Linked DNA regions of Caenorhabditis elegans. The protein of the gene in region 1 interacts with the protein of each later gene in a biochemical or structural test. Each region holds a gene or a part of one and is shown on either strand. Other genes may lie near its edges.

What was found. The genes of interacting proteins can lie anywhere in the genome.
Region 2: of the proteins of mec-17 (region 1) and mec-12, one has a biochemical effect on the other in vitro, tested with the Caenorhabditis elegans proteins (one study listed by BioGRID).

What each region holds. Positions count from the first base shown.
Region 1 is NC_003282.8:7,985,394-7,989,149, forward strand, and holds the start of mec-17 (Alpha-tubulin N-acetyltransferase 1), read right to left. Parts: upstream 1,791-3,756; 5' UTR 1,760-1,790; coding exon 1,680-1,759; intron 243-1,679; coding exon 105-242; intron 1-104. Other genes in the region: col-115 (Col_cuticle_N domain-containing protein), read left to right, coding at 3,295-3,438. UniProt on the Caenorhabditis elegans protein: Specifically acetylates 'Lys-40' in alpha-tubulin/mec-12 on the lumenal side of microtubules. Promotes microtubule destabilization and accelerates microtubule dynamics; this activity may be independent of acetylation activity.
Region 2 is NC_003281.10:3,137,380-3,141,135, forward strand, and holds the start of mec-12 (Detyrosinated tubulin alpha-3 chain), read right to left. Parts: upstream 1,856-3,756; 5' UTR 1,756-1,855; coding exon 1,753-1,755; intron 371-1,752; coding exon 148-370; intron 1-147.

The DNA of each region.
Region 1 (3,756 bases):
GCGACGAGAAAATATATGTCTGACAGTATTCCGTATTATTCATTCGATAATGATTGAGTAATATTGTGAAAAACTGAAGTATATGAATAAGAATATTAACTTACTCATCATATTTCCAAGAGAGATATAAAGTTGAATCGGAGTTGATAAGCTTCTCACAAGTTGTCAAAGGAGTACGAAGCTGAAGGCAATGAGCTGAGAGTTTAGCAAGATTATCGATTGCTTCATAGACAATTGGATCCCTGAAATATTTTTGATGAATTTATTTTTAAAAAATTATATTCGGACCATTTTAAGTGACACTTCATATTTGTTCTGGTAAGATCATCCTTCTAATCTCACAGAACCCCAAAAAGCTCAAATCTAGCTTCTCTTTAAATTCCAATTATCTTCAGATTATAGTTAGTTCAACTCGATTCAGCAAAATTGCCAAAAATAATAATCTAGATTTAGTTGAAAGTTCAATCCCCAACTAAAGAACAATTCAACCTTATCATCACTTTTATCACATCTTCCGCATGTTCAATTGATATATTGATAAGATTGTTAAGAGGGAGGCGTTGGAAAAATAAAACGAAAAATGGAACAGGTTATCTCATGAGTGAGAAATAAAAAGAAGAATCACAAGAATCATTTAGGTTTAAAGTTGTAATGATTTGTGGTGCTATGCAAAAAGATAACCGGGTTGATATTTTATCAGTGTTTCGAATAACAAAACATTCAAATATTCCAGTTTTTTCTTACTGAATTCAAGATGTATATTAACCATGATGAAAGGTGATTACACTATATTTCAGAAATAAAATAGAGAAGGAACTGATGTCTTCAGATCCAACAAATGTGAATAAATAAACGTTGATATATGTCGTCTGACTCCAAAATTTAATTAGAGAGTCTAATAGTACAAGACTTCACCCGATTCCTCAAAAACTATTTAGCACCAGTAGGAAGCTCCGAGATACATTGCTTTCAGAATTTCATTGTTAGCTTCAGTTTATTTCGTGCTCCACGGCATTGATTTACAATATGTTTAAAAAATTGTATTTTAACATTACAGCTGAAAAATTTCAAGAAATATAATTTCAACATAAGTTTATTCCATTGTAATGATTAGCGAGAAAAAACACAGATTGAGATCAAAACGAATTTCAATAAAGTTAAAATTTTCCCCTTTGTTTTGATTAAATGACAAGGCAAACCTTTATGTTGGACTCAATCTGCTCAGAGAACATTATTATTTCCACACTATTACATGTTTGCACTAAAAATTGATTTTCTCAAGCCTCTAACAATAAAACACAATCTCAAAGTCACAATTCAAAATCCTTATAACTTTACTGAGAGATTTGTAGCGTTGTAGCTCCTTTTTAATTTTGAATCTCTTGAAAAGCACATTGTAACTGTTTAAAAAAGGAATTGAACACTTTCAGCAGTGGAACTATCAATTCTACAGGAAGAAATATGAGCTCACATCAGGCAAATCTTTAAAATCTTGGGGAAAACTAAAATGATTAACAGACATTGCAAATGGAATCATATATAAAAAAGAAATATTCTATACCTGATACCATCTAAACCAAATGTTTAAAAAACTTTCGTGAATGGGTTTTTCACTACTCAATATCAGACACTATGAACATTCCATTCTCTTAAACTAAGTGAATATATCAAAAACTTACTGCAATTGCTTAACTCTCATAGGATCCAAACGAACGAGTTGAGGACCGAGAATCGGTCGGAGGTCGGCGTCGACTTGCATGATCGAATCGTCTCACAACTGATCCATCGGTGAAGCAGCTTCTCTTCATCTCAGCTCTCCTCCTCCCACATTTCCTCCCCATTCTCATGCATTTTTGGTGAGCCTGCTCTTATCGGAGAATTCCTTTCAATTTCTTCGGAATTCATACAGTATACAAAGTGACTTTTCTATGAATTTTATATCAGTGTTTGGCATTATTTCTTTTCTTGACGACTCTTCATTTCTGAAACATTCGGATGATCTTTTTCTTTTTTGGCAGAATTTAGAAAGGAAAACACAAACGCGGAAGAAGTTGGAAGAGTCACAAACAGATAAACATTTTTAATTACTGTTCCAAAAAATCTAAATTCGAGATCTCTGGAAATTTCATTGGAACTTTGAAAAAGACTATTTTTAGATTTTCAGATTCGTGTAGCAAGAAAAATAATCAGATTCATTTAGAATTTGAAACATTCCGTAACTTGAAATTTTATCAGAAAATGGAGAATCGTTTTTTAAAATTATTTCTAGGAGCAATTTGAGTGGTACTTTTCAGAAACTTTGAATATCCAGGTTTTCTGAAACTGTAGATTTCTTTACAAGACACTTTGTGTTTTTCAACACCACTCTTCTACATAGTGCTAATTTTACAGCCAAAAGTGTCAACCACTCAGTTCCTCTCACTTTTAATTTTGGAAGTTTATATTTTAATTATTTGCATCTGAACATTGTAGATGCTCAAAAATGCGACATTGCTCTAAAATTATTTTTTAAAAACCAATATTTCTCGAAAATTGGGAATTTGCCAAAATTTTCAAAAATAGAAAAATATTTTTTTACACTTCAGAGTTTTTTATAATATTTGGCCATGTTGGACGGTATTGAAAACATGATAAATATTGAAAACATGATTACTATTTCTACAGACACTGCTTCATCTTCAAATAAATTTCTAGATGTTTGTCAAAAATTTGGAATTTTCAAAGCTATCTCGAATATCAAGAACGAGAACCATTTCAAGAAGAAGCTTTTGCAGATCAGAAAACAAGAATTCAAGTGATTAACATCAGCAGACATCATTCTAACTTCTCCACACCCAAATTATCCATTGTAAACTACGCATACCTTTTCATTAGACTTCGTCACTCTTTTACACTTAAAACACTGTGATAACGCGTATTCTTTTTTTTATGCTGTTAGCCTCGTATTGAACGAAAATCTGAACATTTGAATGCTTTTCATTCACATTATTTTTCAATGTATTGAACTTTCATTCGGATACAACATTTACTTTTTTCCTCACTTTGAAGAAAAATTCAATTATTGTATTCATTTTTAAAAGTCTCTCCAACAAACTTATTGTAAAAATTTGATGCTCACATCTATAGATTTCTTGACAGAAAAACGGAAACAATAATGGAAATTAAAACTTGAAAAATGTAAATCTTATACAATAACATTTAATCTGTTTCAGATATATTTTATAATTTGAGTTTGCCATTCTGTGATCAATGGGAGACTCTTGGCTAACACATTTATAATAGTAATTTCAGAAAATGAAGGGTAATGAGAAAGATCTAGAACTGTTAGCGCGACGAATGCGTCAATTGGCCGTTTTCTCGTCATCAGTTGCTGTATTTGTTGCAGTTCTTGCCGTCTTTGCTCTACCAATTCTTATCACATCTACACTTCAAGCAGTGGTAATTTATTTGTTAATTTTATAGTTTACCTAATTTGCTTTTTATTAGATGTGAATGATTTTACAAGCTGAAAATTATAAGGAAATTATTTCCGCTCACAAATATAACTCTTCCAAATTAGATTTTTACAAACATTCTGGAAGCTTCGTGGCAAGTGTGTTTTGTTTTCATCTTATAAAACCTAGCTTCCAGAATGTTTACCCTACCTGAAGAATGGTCACCTAATTATATCCAGAAAAGCATCAAAAATTTGCAAAAGTGGTCAAACAAGTTGCCGGACCTCTCAAGTAGTCACAAAATTAACTTTGAAATGTTTAA
Region 2 (3,756 bases), on another chromosome or scaffold:
TACCACATACGTTTTCGTGACGGGACCCAAAAATTTCAGCATTTTCAGAACCTAGTCATGATTATACTTATTTTAACGGGCTTTTAACACTGATTTCAAAAATTTAAGTGAAAATTCAAAAATATCTTCTTAAAAAAAATCCCCCACCAATGACAGTTGGCTCCAAGTCGACCATGACGGCTCTTGGCACATGACGTCCACTTCCAGTTTCCGAGAAGAAAGTGCTGAAAGAGTCATCGGATCCTCCGAGGGACTTGTCAGAAGGCATTTGACCATCGGGCTGAATTCCGTGCTCCAGGCAGTAGAGCTCCCAGCAAGCATTTCCGATTTGGACTCCGGCTTGTCCGATGTGAATCGAAATTACTTCTCTCTGCAAGATAACTTTTTTTGTTTGTAGATTTTAAAGGGTTTTATTATAAAATTTGAATTCAGCAAACGAAGAGCTTCAAATTAAGCCCCATATTGGCTATGTTCCTTTAGATTTGGGTCCCGTCACGAAAGTGTCTACATGGGGTACTGTAGTTTTCGCGGTGGGACCCAGTTTTCTCAGTGAAACCTAGGCATGACTATACTTGAATTGAAGCTCACAGCGTGGTGAATTTGAATTTTTGAATCAAAATTTCAAATTTTCATTTTAAAAAGTTTACTACGATATCTGATATGTATTACAGGTAGACAGGTAGATCAAACCCTCTGAAAAATTTACATTCGTGGCGAATTTCAAATTTGTTCAAACCCACTATTTTATTGTAAAACTCAATTTTCAATAAAATTTCGCGGGTCTCGCCACGAAGAGTGCGTATTTCTTCTAGGAATAGTCCTCTCCTCCCTAAAGTTCCACCCGCAAAAAGAAAGAGAAAAAAGTCAATTTTCGCCCAAATTGGATACATTTTGTGTTGCTCGTCTCAACTCCTCAACAACCCTCCTTCGCCCCGTCCTGCTCGGCGCGGAGCATTTTTCAGTTGAATTGGCAACATTTCCTGTGTTTATGTGGTGGGGCTCCGGAAGTCCGGACCTGGCACCAGGTGTGCTCAATGAGTCGAAAAAATGTTGAAGGGGTGTTGAGGTGGAAGAGTTAATAAATCCTAAAATCCTAGTTTTTCAAAATCAAATTTCGAAAAATTGTTTTTTTTTCCTAAAATTGTTAAAATAATTTGTTTTGATATCAGGGTTCCTAACCAAGATGTGTCCTGATAACGCATACGCAGACGGCGATGGCGTCTGCGTCTCACCACTTCTTACACTATCTCGTCGCTAACTTTAAGTGTTTGTATCTCAGCGAAGAGCTGAGATATCAAAAAATTTCAACAAACAAAATGCAGCACTTAACATTTCCTACATTTTGTTAGTTATCAACTTTTTGACAGTTGCTTTCCGAACGGAGATATGCCCTGTTAAAGTTAGGAGGACTGGAATAGTGTGGCACGAGAAGAGACGCAGACAGCCCCCTTCCACACTGTTTGGCTTGCTACATTTTGAACGAGTATATCTCCACAGGGAAAAGAGTTAGAAGAAAAGTTTCAACTAACGAAATGTAGGAAATTTCAAGGTCTATATTTTGTCTGTTGACAAATTTTTAGTATTCACGTTATTTTTCTAGATACTGGTAGTTTTAACAAGAAATCAGATTCGTAAAGTTTTTATGGCGAGGTTTAAATGTTTCAAAATTCATTTTTCACAAGAATTCATTTCTAGCATCTCAAGAATCTAAACATTCAAATAAACATTGTTCAGAAAATCTAGAAAACCCACCATTTTGCAAAAGAGGAGCTACAAGTTGTGTTTGCTGGGCGACGAGTTGAGATGGAACAGAACACACACAAGTGGGGCTCTGTGCTCTGTGAGCCTCTTTTCTGAAGACGTGCCTTCTCTGCGTCTCTCCGTGTTGACACATGCTCCGCCCCTCCTATGTTTCTTTTTTTGCTCCGCGAGCTCCATGTTTAGGATGGGAAAGGAGACGACATGAAATTCCGAAAAACAGAGAAAAAACGAAATTAAATTAAAATGTTGCGAAATTGTTAAGAACATTGGTTTTGACATATTAAAATTCTGTTGAAAACTAATAAAATACAAAATAAAAAATTTCCTTGACAGTGTTTAAAAATCTTATATCTCTGCTGGTAATTAGCAAAATATAGCTTTTATGATGTTCTACATTTTGATATTTCCCATCGCGAAACTTCTACTTCATATAATTTAACTGTTACTGGGGAAAAAGTAACATATTGCCCAAAGGCAAATTAGAAAGGACTCTAAAGACCTAGTTTTGGTGAGAAGTTTTCAAAAAAAAGTTTCTACAATTTTTTTTAAATTTAAAATTCAAACGTACGTATCTCAAAAACCAGGTGAGTTATCAAAAATTGCCAACAAACAAAATTAAGCTCTTGAAATTTGATACACTTTGTAAGTTGACAACTTTTTGATACATTATCTCGTCGCGGAAATACATGTGTCTAAAGGAACCTAGGTGAAAGGTACATGCCAGGGTGTGCGGCAAATTTTCCGAAATTTGCCATTCACCGAGCTTGGTAAGTTTGCCGAATATTCCACAAAAAAACATCAAAAATATTAAAATTTTCGGATCCCAATTATTATTCTAGTTCAGTTTTTCAAAATACAGTTTGAAAAAAAATCGTTTTTTGTAGATAAAGCTGTATATCTCAAAAACCAGGAAAGTTATCAAAAATTTGTTCACTAGCAAATTGTAGACAATTTTTAGAGCTATACTTTGTTTGTTGACAATTTTTTCGTAGCTCTACAGGTTTTTGAGAGAAATCGATTAAAAAACAATTGAAAAAAAACTTCTTGCTTTGAAATTTTTTTGTAATTTTTCAAAACCTTTTCGCAAGTCAGTTGAATTTTTTAAAGTTTCTACATGTTAAAAAATTAATAATTAAAAATTAATTTTTACATTTTCCAACAACACATTCTTCTCCCCACCACTTCCACCAATTTCCAGCCATCTGCCCTCTCTGGCTCCGTGAGCCCTCAGCAAACAGTATCAGGTTACCCCTTAGAGACTCCGCCCAACTACAGTAATCCAAGGAAATAGTGTGTAAGGTGGAGAGAGCCGAGAGAGAAAGCCATCTGGAAATGAGCAAAAGGATTGGTTTACCGATGGAAATGGAAAGAACCTCCTAATGCATTCAGATTCAGAGCTCTGCGATGAAGCTTGCGGTGACTAGTATTCAGCTGTGTATTTATTGGCCTTTACTGCTTAAAATGTATTCAAAACTAGTATAATTTCAAAAAAATTCCTTTTTTTTTGTTAAATTTTAAGTTTTTCCCTACTACCAATAGGATCCTAGGACCTTATCACAATTTCTAACACTCAAATTTTGATGAATTTGGAATTTTTTGGGGGACTTGGGACCACTGTTGTATGAATTTTTAAGCTGATGATCTTCCTTTTTCATTCATTTTTGATAGGGTCTCATATTCTTGGAAGAACTGGAAAATGATAAATTTTGAGAAGAAAAGGCTTTGAGAAAAAAGAACGAAGGGAATTTTGTTGTGCAGTTTTTGAAAATTTTTGAAAAAAAATCGAAAAATCTCAAATTGTCTAGCTGAATTGTTTTTTTTTCAGTTTGTGTATTTTATTGATTTTGTAAAAAAGAGTTTGACGATAGCTTTAATTTTACAGAAAAAATTCGGCAAAAAATTTCAATTTCGATCAAAGTTAAAATTTCGAGAATTTTCAACATTTTTTAAACATTTTTAACATTTTGGAGTTAGCCCCAGTAACTTGCCGATTTT